Linked DNA regions of Coturnix japonica. The protein of the gene in region 1 binds, or shares a complex with, the protein of each later gene. Links are inferred from orthologs where the notes say so. Each region holds a gene or a part of one and is shown in the gene's direction. Other genes may lie near its edges.

Region 1 (4,351 bases):
TTCCTGAAGGGGGGTTGTAGTGAGCTGGGGGTTGGCCTCTTCTCTCGTGTAATCAGTGATAGAACTAGAGGGAATGGTTTTAAGCTGCGGCAGGGGAGATTCAGGCTGGACATGAGGAAGTATTACTTCTCATAAAGGGTAGTCAGGCATTGGAATGCACTGCCCAGGGAGGTGGTGGAGTCACCGACCATGGGAGTGTTCAAGAAACGTCTGGATGTTGTGTTGAGGGATATGATTTAGCTGGGAAGTATTGGTGATAGTTGGACTGGATGATCTTCTAGATCTTTTCCAACCTTGATAATTCTGTGATTCTGTGAACCCATACAAACTCATTTCTGCCTCTGCTGCATGTTTGGGCCCAGCGCCCAGAACCAGCATTGTCTGCTCTTAAAGTCCTTATTGACAACCTGAGTAATGCTTGATGAGGCATTTTGTCTTGTGGTCTTTGTTTCTCTCTTTCACTTGTTTAATTGAATTTGATCTTATACTGAAATAACGTGCTAACACAGTACCCATCTTTTATAATGATCAAATGTGGAGATTAAAGGCCTACAAAGCAGCCCTAAATCCAACACAGAACGTGCTGCCAAAAGAAACTTAAAAAAAAACAAGACAGGGAAGAAAAATTGCTTCTTTTTCCCATCCCAGTGTAAACAGTCTGTGCCCCTCCTACTCGATTTAGTGCTTCCCAAATCACAGAATCACAGAATGACCTGGGTTGGAAGGGACCTCAAGGATCATGTAGTTCCAACCCCCTGCCTGGCTAGCCGGCCGCAAAACAGAACATGACACGACTTTTACTAGATCAGGGTTGCCCCAGTGCCCCGTCCAAACCTTGCGGTCTCTGAATCACCTCCCAAGGGACGGGGCATCCCACAACCTCCCTGGGCAGCCTGTTCCAGGGCCTAACCACTCTCCTAGTGAAGAACTTCCCCCTAACATCCAACCTAAATCTTCCCTCTTTCAACTTAAAACCATTTCCCCGTGTCCTGCTATTGTCAGCCCTTTCGAAGAGTTTACTCCCCTCCTGGGAGTAAGTTCCCTTCAAATGCTTTCCATCAAGCGCTCCTGAGCAAAGAGAAGAACCAGTGGCAGTGCGAGCTGTGAGAAAACACAGCAAGAAGTGGGAAGGTGCCTGTGGGAATGGCCTATGGGCCCGGCCGTGTCATCGCGGAGCTCGCTTTACAGCTGACCCCTGAACTTTGTGCACAGCAGTTGTTCATGGCTCTGGTGATGAGTCGCTGGAAGGGGCCCAAAGGGATCGTAGAGCCCAGCGCCTGGCGCTGCGCAGCACCACCCGGATTCACGCCCTAGCTCGGTCTGAGCGTGTCATGCAGACGCTCCTTGAGCTCCGGCTGCCTCGGGGCTGTCAGTGCTGCCCTGGGGATCCTGCTTGTGATACACAAACGTTCGGCCGCGTACTATTTGGAGGTGAAAAAGAACGCCCGCCCGCCCGCGCTCTCCGCCGCTCCCGGCGCTGTCCCTCGGCGCTCGCCGTCGGGCCGCAGCCAATCAGGCGGCTCGTGGCAGCGGCGGGAGCCGTGCGGCGCCATGGAGGAGGTGTGCGCGCGGTTCGTGTCGCAGAAGATCAGCAAGGCCCGATGGCGGCCCCTGCCCGCCGCCGCGCTGCAGCCCCCGGAGCTCTTCGCCACCGGCTCCTGGGACAACGAGGTAACGCGGCACGGCCTTACCGGGCGGGTCGCTGCCTCCCCCGCCTCGGGCCCCGCAGGCGCCGGGGAGTCCTTGTCCGCAGCCCACAGGTAAAAGCGGCCGTGTCGTTTCCCTGCAGGACAACCGCATCTCCGTGTGGTCTGTGGGAGATGCGGGAAGCGCGGACCTCAATGGGGAATATCAAGGAGAGCCTCAGCTGCTGTGTGACATCCGGCACAACGGAGACGTGATGGACATGCAGGTGAGGGAGCTGCTCGTCATCTGAGGCAAACGGGGTGACAAGGAGCTGACTTGGGGGTTGGAACTACATGAGCCTTGAGGTCCCTTCCAACCCGGGTCATTCTGTGGCTTTTAACAAAGAAAGTTATGAAGAGTGGCAAATTAAATGAGTATCAGTTTGTGGGTGTTTTACTGCACCTACCCACACATCTGAATACTCTGAATTGAAAATCACCATCCTGGTGTTGATATCAACTCATAACGTGCTTGTTAATCTCTTTAGTTTTTGGATCAAGAGAGAATTGTTGTTGCCTCATCAACAGGAAGCGTGACTGTGTTCCGGCATCATCAGAACAACCAGGTAGGCACCTGCAGCTGCAGTGCGGGTCCCTTGGATCTCAGCGTGAGATTTCTCAAATTAAAAGCAGGAGGCATCCAGAGTCAGCAATAAATTCTTCAAAGCATTTTAGAAGTAGATTTGGTTTTGTACCTGCACAGGGAGAAAAACATCTTCGACACACACAGCATAAATCAGATTCCAGAGCCAGACAGATTGGGTTCTGTTAATATGTTGTAAGCAATAGACCACTCACTAAAAATGTACTTGAGTTTTTATGCGGTTATATATATGAGAATAAATAATTTCAGGGAGTGGGAATGAGTGAACTTGTACTTTTATTTATTTGCATGGCACAACAAAGACTAACATCTGTTAATAGTTTCATGTGGTACTTAGGATAAACCGAGTTTCCTTCAATCAGAATCTAAATCTGATCTTACACTTTGTAAAGGCTCAAGTTCTATTTCTTTGTCCTAGGAAAAGATTGGAGGCTAAGTCTAGTGAGAGATACTTCATATTCAGACATAGATCCTATTAATTCCAAGTTCTCTCTCTTGTGTGAAAGAGATGGTTCAGAGCAGACAGTGCCTCACTGAAGGGAGACCAAGGAAGTTCAGATTTCTGGTTCTTATTTATGTAGAAGATTCCTATTGCAGTGAGGTACTATGGCTTTCCTGGAGCTTCTTTCCAGTTGTATGAGTATTTGTGAGTATTCCGAAAGCTTTACTCAATCGGGATCGTTATTTACCAGCAGAATCTCATGTCTGGTTGCTACTTAGACTCTATCTGCCAGTCACCGGTGGGAGAACGCCCATTATCACGCGGATCAATACACAGCTTGTGGTGGAGCAGCGTGTACCGGAGTCATCTGCAACAACCCAGAAATTGTCACTGTCGGAGAAGATGGTAGAATTAATCTCTTCAGAGCTGACCAAAAGGATGCAGTGAGGACTATAGGTATGTCAAGTCAATGCTCAGCATGTTTTGGTTTGGAACATCTCGGTTGGTGTATAGAATAGAATATTTATTTTAGCCAAAATATTGTGTGACAGAAAGGAAAGCAATTGAGAACTGAATTCAATATCCCAAGGTGAATGTATTTCCTCCAGGTCATTCCTACATTCCTCCAGACTTACAAGTATTTGAAGTATGTTTCAGATATGTTTCTATATGCATTCAGTTTGTAAGTTATGTTTTAACTGGTGGAGATGTTTTAAGATTTAACATTCCCAGAATGCTTCTGTTTGATCTGGAGTCATTAAATGCTCTGATAGAATGCACGAGATAGTTCTATTTCCAGAAGCATCGTGTCATCAATTGTTTATAAGCAGGGGTCGGTAACTACTGTCATTTCAATTCATTATTTATAGTAAGCTTAAGCCTTGTGTTATCCATACTCAAAACCATCAATTTGTGTGGAAAAGAATTTGTGTGTTCTAAAGGAGCACAAGGAGCCAGAAGTTACTATTTGTCCCCTGTTGTACCAGGTGCCATGGCTCACAGCCGTCATCTCTCACTTAGTGAAATGGGTTCATGTTTCTTGAGATAGAATTATCTAATAGAGTAACAAGTGCTTGTGGAAGGTGTCAAAGCTTATTCTCAGCATTTCCATCTTGCTGCCTTCATGGAGTAGCATGTGGAAAACAAAAGCAGAAATGATATGAAGCGCAGTAACAGCATTATTGATAATGGAACTTTCTCCCTGAAACCTCAGTTTGACACGTTGCCTGTGTTTCTCCTCAAGTGAAATCTTGCTTCAGATTGAACAGATGAAGGAACTTAGACAGTGATAAGCCAATTAAGGAATGAAGCTCCCTGGGATTTCTGGAGGGGGGTATTTGTGTGTGCAGGGCTGTATACATGCACACACAAAGCAAATCCTATTAATTGCATACAGTTCTTTACTGAAGCTCTCTGAGAACTGCAGGAAGTCATTTTAAAACATAGGAAGAAACACAGAAGTTGCACAAGGCAGAGTTTTATCAGTAACACGCAAAAAAAACCCAAAACCCTGTAACTCTTCAACTCTTCAGCACTGAGGGGAAAAAAGTAATTAGTTAAAAAGGTTTATTTTAATTTCAAGTTTTCATTTATAAATGGATACCAGCACAGAATGTTTCG
Region 2 (4,274 bases), on another chromosome or scaffold:
TTATTTTACAACACCTTACCGCATCTAACCCTCAGATCAAAAACAATAGTGAAATGAGCAAAGCAATTGTTTTACATAGATAAACCAAAAGTTTAGCAAGCACACCAAGTTTAAGATACACCAAGTTCCAAGAACATATAGAAAGAATGCTAACCTGTTTATTGACTTCAGCCATGGACAGTTGTAATGCTGTCAGCATGCAATCTGCTCCACACACAGTAGTTCTTTCTGAGTTTGAAAATAAGGGCCATTGTCTTCTGAAATATTTGATTAAGTTTAAAATCTTTTGCTGGAAAGAAATCATTGCCTAAAGTAGAACACAGAATTAAGAGAAATGATTGTAAACACACAAACATGAGAGGCCTGTGCATGTCTTCACCTTAAGTGTGTATGCTATTGCTTCTTCTTCCATATTAAGTCCACAAAACGCACTTATCCCACAAACCCATTGTCAAGCAAGACTTACCTCACTAATGATAGAAAAACTACACGAGAAGGGATAGAAAGCGCTCATGAATGACATATTTATAAAGACATGTCCTCCTTGCATATTTACTAGCTTGAAAGAGTATCAGGGCTGGAGCACCTCTCCTGTGAGGAGAGGTTGAGGGAACTGGGCTTGTTTAGCTTAGAGAAGGCTCCTGGGAAACCTCGAAGGAAGCATATGAACAGGAGGGGGTACAACTGTTTAAGAGGGTTGATAATGATAGGACAAGGGGGAATGGTTTTAAACTGAGACAGGGAGGTTTAGGTTAGATATTAGGAGGAAGTTTTTCACTCAGAGGGTGGTGAAGCTCTGGAACAGGTTGCCCAAGGAGGCTGTGGATGCCCCATCCCTGCAGACATTCAAGGCCAGGCTGGATGTGGCTCTGGGCAGCCTGGTCTGGTTTGAAACTAGGTGATCATTGTGGTCCTTGTCAGCCCAGGCCATTCTATGATTCTATGATAATAACAGTAATTTGACAGGACAGTCTTTTGTCTCTACCGAGACAGCCTGAATGCCACCAGAGAGCACCTTTCATATTCACCACATCACATTCAGACCAACATCTACTAGAATGGTTCCCTAAACAAGAGATCTGCTATTGTTTCCACAACTTACTAACGAAGGCACTTTTGAGTATTTTTGTCACCTACATACAAAGCCTTTTTAGCATTTCTTCCCTTAAGTCACCATATTTGCCATTCCCTTTGGCAGCAAGTCTCCGTTATCTATTTCAGTTGCCAGGCTGCCCAGAGCCCCCATCCAACCCAGCCTTAAGCACCTCAAGGGCTTCCCTAAAGTCGCTCCCCTTTTAAGCACGTTAAGCCGTTTACTCTGCACCCAAGCCCCTCTCAGCCGGCTGAGGCGCTCTCGCTCGCCTATAGCCACTACCTGCACAACCAGGAGACCGAGACCAAGCACTCCACCATCCGCTCGGAAGGCCCAGCAACCTCTATCCTCTATCGGCGGTTTTCATTTAAAACTTCGGCAGATGCCCAATAGGCAGCTCGAGCCCCGACCCGGAAGCACACGGCGATACACGGGCGGGAGGTGCCGGCTGGCGGGGACTAGCGTGTGTATGGCCGGCTGGGGCTGTGGAGGTCTGTGTGGGGCGGCTCGGGTTGGGGGGGGTTGTTTCGGGTTGAGGGGAGGGAGTGCAATGCTTCGGTCGGATGGGTCCCGAGGGGCGAGCGGGTCGTGGAGAGGCGATTGGGCCGCCTTCTATGAGGCCCTGTAGCGTTGTGAGGCTGTGCTTTCTCAGTAAGCATTGCAGAGCCCTGAATGGAGATGTCTGTGTGTGTCTGTGTGAGGGGTTGGCGCAGTTGTCCGTGTGGTGATTCTGTAAAGAATGAATATCAGGGTTTGTTGGTTGTTTTTTTTTTTAGTTAAAGTTAGTCTAGAGTTGCTTTTCTCAGGCTGAGGGAGCTGGGAGCTGTGCAGCCTGGAGAATACAAGGCTCTGGGGAGAGCTGGCAGCAGTCTCTCTGTATCTGGAGGGGGCTGTAGGAAAAGGGGACAGACTCTTTAGTGGGGTCTGTTGTGACAGAACAGGGTGAAATGGTTTCAGGCTGAAAAAGAGGAGACCTAGGTGGGATCTAAGGGAAGAAGTCTTTTATAGTAAGTGCGGTGAGGCACAGTTTGCCCAGAGAGGTGGTGGATGCCCCATCCCTGGAGACACTCAAGGTCAGGCTGAGCACCTGATGTAGCTGTGGGTGTCCCTGCTCATTGCAGGGATGTTCAACTAGATGGACTTAAAAGTTCCTTCCACCTCAAACCATTCTATGATTCAATGTTGGGAAGGCTTTAAGGAAAACGGTTACAGATTAGGTTACAAATTGTGTTTGGCTTTAGGAGCATGTCTCTGCAAGTTATGTGCCTGAAGTATATATATCAGTGGGATAGTGTATCTTGCTAATCAAAGAACAAATATTGCAGATGTAAGGTGCATTTGTATATCTGCGATGTCCACAACAACCTGTGGTAGCACTCAAGCAAAATGTTGTGACTTGGATTCTGAGACCATCAGGTCATTAACAGCAAAATACACTGAGAAATTTAAAGCTATTTTTCAATGTTGCAAAAAGAAAAAAAAATTCCAAAAGGAATAAACTAATATAAAATCTGCACTGGGATTAAGGGGGAAGGTTCCATAATCAATTGTGTATCTAAGCTGCTTTGGTGCCAGCACAGGAGCCTGATTGTCTTGAAAAGTGCTTGAATACAGTACAGTGCTCATTCTGAGGTATACTTCAGCCCCAGATGAAAGCTAACTACTTTCGTTGAAATACAGAGGCATAGGGGCTATGCTCTGTGTGCAGATGGGTTGACTTCAGTCATGAAGCCATGGTTAAGTATTCTGCAGGACAGTGTTCTCATCTGCTGTCTTTTCAGTCTTGATTCTGCTTTTAAATAGATAAATAGATGTCCTTTAAAAGCAGTACAATGGGGTAAAGAACTTGGAGGTAACAATACATTGTTTTTTGACATTTGGTTGAAAACTGAAGCATTCTGAATGTGACTTTTCTGTTGTGTGTAGTTAATCCTGGTGTTATGTTGCCAGCAGTAACACAAAATCTGTAGCTATCAATTAAGTCTCTAGAAGTGGTTTTGAATGTATGCTAGTTATTGAGGTTAATTAGTTTTGTTAATTCCTTGATAGTTGGAATTATGTGCTAAATCTATAGATATTGAGCTTAATTTCACCTTGTGTCCATTAATGCAGCGTCATAGGAAATTTTGATTTGTTGTGCCACAAATGCCTTTTTTCTTATGTGAATGTGTAATGCACTTTCTTTAATACTTTCTGTATAGGAATGTCAACCTTCATCCTGTAAAAGACATCGCTTCTGTGATACCTTGATACAGTTCCCTGAAAATGAAGCAAGATTCTCTTAGAAACGCCACTTACACTGTGGACTGTGAAGATTATGTGCATGTGATAACATTCAATCCTTTTGATAGTGGAGACGCATGCTCCCTCATTGCATATGGTGGCAACAATTACGTGGTTGTTGGAACATGCAGATTTCAGGTTGGTTTGTGTTAGTTTGTTGGTTTTATTCATTTCTTCCCAGAACTCAGCAAGCATCTCTGCTGGTAAAGTCCTAAGCTGACTAAAACTGCTTTCCTGTCTTCTCTTTTTTACCAGGAAGCGTTTACTAGATTAATCAATTACTATGTTAATGAATTGGGATATTTCCTAAGAAATACAAATTAGAATAAAATACTGTCCTGCTGATATGCCTCCAAGTTGACTTCAATGAAAGCAGCACTGCTTTTCTGGAGGATAACCTAATTTTAGCAGTCACCAACATTTGCAGTGGTACTATCTGGAAACTTCTTATTTGTAGCACAAATATCTGATTTTTGTGCCCAGTATTTGACTCTGACTTGAGACTCTCGTGCACTTCTAGTCAACTTTTTATTGCAGCAGGTACATCAAACTTGGAAAGCCTTTCTGTTTCATATCAATCCAAATTGTTAGAAGTCATAAAGATGTTATTCTGGATTAGTTAATTGTCATATCTCTATAGGAAGAGGATGCAGAAGTGGAAGGCATTCAGTATAAGACTCTAAGAACATTTCATCATGGAATCCGAGTTGATGCCATAGCATGGAGCCCAGAAACTAGACTTGATGCTTTACCTCCGCAGATAAGGTATATAGAATAATTGAGTACAAGAAATCTTTGTCACTTATCTGTTTTCCCTAAGTCCTTAATACTGAACTAAGTTAAAAGTGTATGAGTGAAATCTAACTCTGAAGCAACTGCTAGTAAAGTCTTAAATATG
Region 3 (3,559 bases), on another chromosome or scaffold:
GGAAGTTGTCACCATAGGTAACAAGGATGTGCACCCTTAGCAGTGCTAGGAACCACAGGTTTTACTAACACAAAGCCTAAGGGTTGTATTATTCCTTTAGTTGTATCTTCAGGGGCTCAGTCATGATTTAACCTACTTGGTCAGAAAGAGACCAGAGGAATGTGATGGTTGGGTTGTCCCCACCCTGAAGAATACATAAGTCATCTGTCCTAAAGGTTAAGAGTATAGGCTTTATCTCTACATCACCCTCAGAAGCTGTGCTAAAAGTTGATTTAAAAACTAGTGCTCGTATACCTTTTGTAACTGGTTTTCCAGAATCTGAATGAAACCCCCCTAAATCAGTCACTGCGAGTACTGCATTGGATGCGGATTCTGCCATATTCCTTAGAGCAAACTTCACTGCAAACACATCTATGAATTTAATCTCGATGTCTGGGGGCATCTGTTGTCCTGAACTAAATTCCAAATAGTGTCCCTTAATGGTTTATCTTTATTTGTTGTATAAGGTAGACATTCAAGAGAACAGAGTTGAGGTAGTACTGGTAACTATGAATGATACTTTGTATTTCTTTCTAGGCAATCTTTTTGTTTTATATACAGGTGTGTCTTAAATTTTGGAAGTTACTTGTGAAATAATTAGTAACAGAATTTGTATCTTTTTACTTCCAGCTCCAGAGCACATTCTCCAATGATAGCTGTCGGAAGTGACGACAACAGTCCAAATATATTGGCTAAAGTTCAGATTTATGAATACAATGAAAATACCAGGTATGCTAAATAACAGTGTATTTATGGGATCTTAGAATAGCTTGTAATGTCCAGCCTTCTGTTTCGTTCCTGTTGTTCCTTATGGAGTGAAGGGGGAAATAATAATACTCCTCAATTTTGTCTGTAAGGCTTTGGACAGGAGAGGCACCTCAGAATGCTAACAGATTTCGAAGGAAATGGCAGATTTTGATAATTTTATTCTGTCAGCACAGAAACTCTAGTGTTCCTACTGGAACTTTAAAGGGAAAGTGGCTTTTATTCTTCTGCTAAGTTTTTGTGCAGAATTTTGCACAAGGAATTCCTTCCGGTCACACAGCTGAATTGCCTTCACCTGTGCTCCCAGGGCTGACCAAGTCCTTTCCCCACGTGATCATCCAGTGGCTCAGGCCATGACTCAACAGTTCCCATACATTCATTGTTATGACATTAGTAGTTAACGTATCTGATGAATTCACTTTCTGAAGAAATCAGCTTGTAGTTATTAGCTAGAATGTAATTTATGTTAAAATAATTACAGCTGTGCATCGTTATGTATCCTAACCAACCACCTTTTCCCTGCTCTGTTATGTCTACTTTACATGATTAGTGAGCCTGGCAGTTTTAATGGCACTAATGGTAATTTTTCATGCCCAACAGGAAATATGCGAAAGCAGAAGCTTTGATGACAGTCACAGATCCTGTGCACGATATTGCGTTTGCCCCAAATCTGGGAAGGTCCTTTCACATCTTAGCTGTGGCAACCAAAGATGTACGGATTTTCACACTAAAACCTCTAAGGTGAGCTTAAAAGGACAACTGGAGCATGGTTCAGTATGATACGGTGCATCCTGTAGAGTCTTTCTTAGTAGTACCTGAGATGCAAAGGATATCTCTTAGTACTCCTAATGTATTATACAGCTGCTAAGTACATTTCTTGAAGGATCTAGTCCTCTTTTTGTCGTCGTATTCAAGCCAGAAGTTGTGTGCAAAACTGTCCCTCCTCTCTTTAACAGGAAAGAGCTGACTTCATCTGGAGGATTAACAAAGTTTGAAATTCACATCGTGGCACAGTTTGACAATCACAACTCCCAGGTGTGGCGAGTCAGCTGGAACATCACGGGCACGGTGCTGGCCTCCTCTGGTGATGACGGCTGCGTTAGGCTTTGGAAGGGTAAGAACTCTACAGGTCTTCTGCTTCAAGTTCATCAGCTTTGTGCTATGCTGAATGTATTCAAGGAAGTTTTTTTGGTGTAAAAGGTTGTTAGATCAGTGAATGATATGTTTTTACACTGATGTTCCGGACAAAAAAGCAAATACAGTGCTGGAACATGGGCATGATTTAAGTTTCTGTGAATAGCTGTTACTGTGCTATATCTGGTAACCTTGAATTGTTTTAGCAGATCACAGCTATGTAAAATTGTCACTATTTGGAACTAATTTGTATTGAGTTGTTGTCTTTGCCTGCTGCCAAACCCTGTGAAACTGTGTTCTGTTAAAACAGTATTCAGGCAATCTGGCTTCTTCTTTTATTCCCTTTGAGCTTTTTTATATTTCTGTTCCAATTTCAAGCAGTGACAACAAAACTCAGGCAGTTTCCTCATCTGTTCTCAGTAGTTTCTCAGTTGGCCTATTATTAAGGATAAAGCAAACTCATTCTTACCACTGAACAAAATGTAGGTTTAAATAATGGATAAGCAGAGGATGCCAAGCAGCTAAAGGACCAGCTACTCAGAATATATATGTTGGTGCTGAAGTAGATTTCTAATTCACACCAGATACCCTGCAGTTGAAATACCATAACTTTCAGAGTCCAAACTAACAGTTTCTGTCTGTGTACATTTGCAGCTAATTACATGGACAACTGGAAGTGTACTGGTATACTGAAAGGTAACGGGAGTCCAGTCAACGGTGGTTCCCAGCAGGGGATTTTTAACGCCTCTCTTGGTTCAGCCAATACAAGCCTACAGAATTCACTAAATGGATCATCTGCCAGCAGGTAGGCTAACTGCTAGAGGGACTGGATCTCAGCAAATGCTTTCTTCTCTGAATCTTCTTAATTTCACTTAGTTTTCATGTCTTGTATTCTTTTAAAGTGTGGTGTCACTTATTGCACGAATACTACTGCAAGCTATTCTGGCCTTGCTTTGTGTCAGTGTCTGCTATGCTAGTAGTGAGAGGAATTACCTTGTATAAACAAGCAGTGGAAGCAATGGTTTTTACTTGCAGTCTTTTTGCATTCTTAAAAACTTTCCTGAAGTAGTTCTGAATCAGGAGAAATTGATCATACTGCTTTGTAACTGCCATTTAGATGCACGTATCGAAGTTAAGCGAAAATACCAGCAATAAAATCTGTTTTTGACTGGGATAGTGTAGCAGAATGGAAGAAGGAAAAGAAAGACACTTTGTAGCATAGGTCTGCAACAAGCATAGGCTGGAGTTTGTTTATTTTACTTGCATTTTTGCAGGTGTAACATCATTTGAGTAAAAATTTGGTTTTTTTTTAATCTTCCTTATACAAGTGGAATTGTTACTGCTTTCTATGTTTTTATTCTTTAACTGCTACTGAATAGGTGAATTAAACTGCCTTAACCAAAACCAGCTTTTAGTTTGTGTACACTCAGCTCTAGAAATTTCTGGGTCCTGCATTTGTAAGGGGAAGTGAGTACAGAGCTTTACAGGATGTGTGCCATAGAAGGGCTTGGTGTGACCAAATCCCACAGCAGAATCTTCCAGGTTCTTTGCCCTCCTCTGTTAGTTTTTCCCCAGATGCCTTCATTTCCATCCATATACAGCTACCAATGGAAATCTTTTT

The links.
Region 2: NUP43 (region 1) and NUP37 share a complex: the UniProt entries of both Homo sapiens proteins name them as parts of the nup107-160 subcomplex of the nuclear pore complex. The link is inferred for Coturnix japonica from reciprocal best matches to the Homo sapiens genes NUP43 and NUP37.
Region 3: NUP43 (region 1) and SEH1L share a complex: the UniProt entries of both Homo sapiens proteins name them as parts of the nup107-160 subcomplex of the nuclear pore complex. The link is inferred for Coturnix japonica from reciprocal best matches to the Homo sapiens genes NUP43 and SEH1L.

Annotation. Positions count from the first base shown.
Region 1 is NC_029518.1:43,395,589-43,399,939, reverse strand, and holds the start of NUP43 (nucleoporin Nup43), read left to right. Parts: upstream 1-1,505; 5' UTR 1,506-1,551; coding exon 1,552-1,671; intron 1,672-1,789; coding exon 1,790-1,912; intron 1,913-2,173; coding exon 2,174-2,251; intron 2,252-3,009; coding exon 3,010-3,187; intron 3,188-4,351. UniProt on the Homo sapiens protein: Component of the Nup107-160 subcomplex of the nuclear pore complex (NPC). The Nup107-160 subcomplex is required for the assembly of a functional NPC.
Region 2 is NC_029516.1:56,800,376-56,804,649, reverse strand, and holds the start of NUP37 (nucleoporin Nup37), read left to right. Parts: upstream 1-1,473; 5' UTR 1,474-1,584; intron 1,585-3,294; 5' UTR 3,295-3,358; coding exon 3,359-3,514; intron 3,515-4,016; coding exon 4,017-4,141; intron 4,142-4,274. Other genes in the region: PARPBP (PCNA-interacting partner), read right to left, coding at 155-304. UniProt on the Homo sapiens protein: Component of the Nup107-160 subcomplex of the nuclear pore complex (NPC). The Nup107-160 subcomplex is required for the assembly of a functional NPC.
Region 3 is NC_029517.1:87,390,163-87,393,721, reverse strand, and holds part of SEH1L (nucleoporin SEH1), read left to right. Parts: intron 1-669; coding exon 670-768; intron 769-1,404; coding exon 1,405-1,545; intron 1,546-1,760; coding exon 1,761-1,918; intron 1,919-2,592; coding exon 2,593-2,743; intron 2,744-3,559. UniProt on the Homo sapiens protein: Component of the Nup107-160 subcomplex of the nuclear pore complex (NPC). The Nup107-160 subcomplex is required for the assembly of a functional NPC.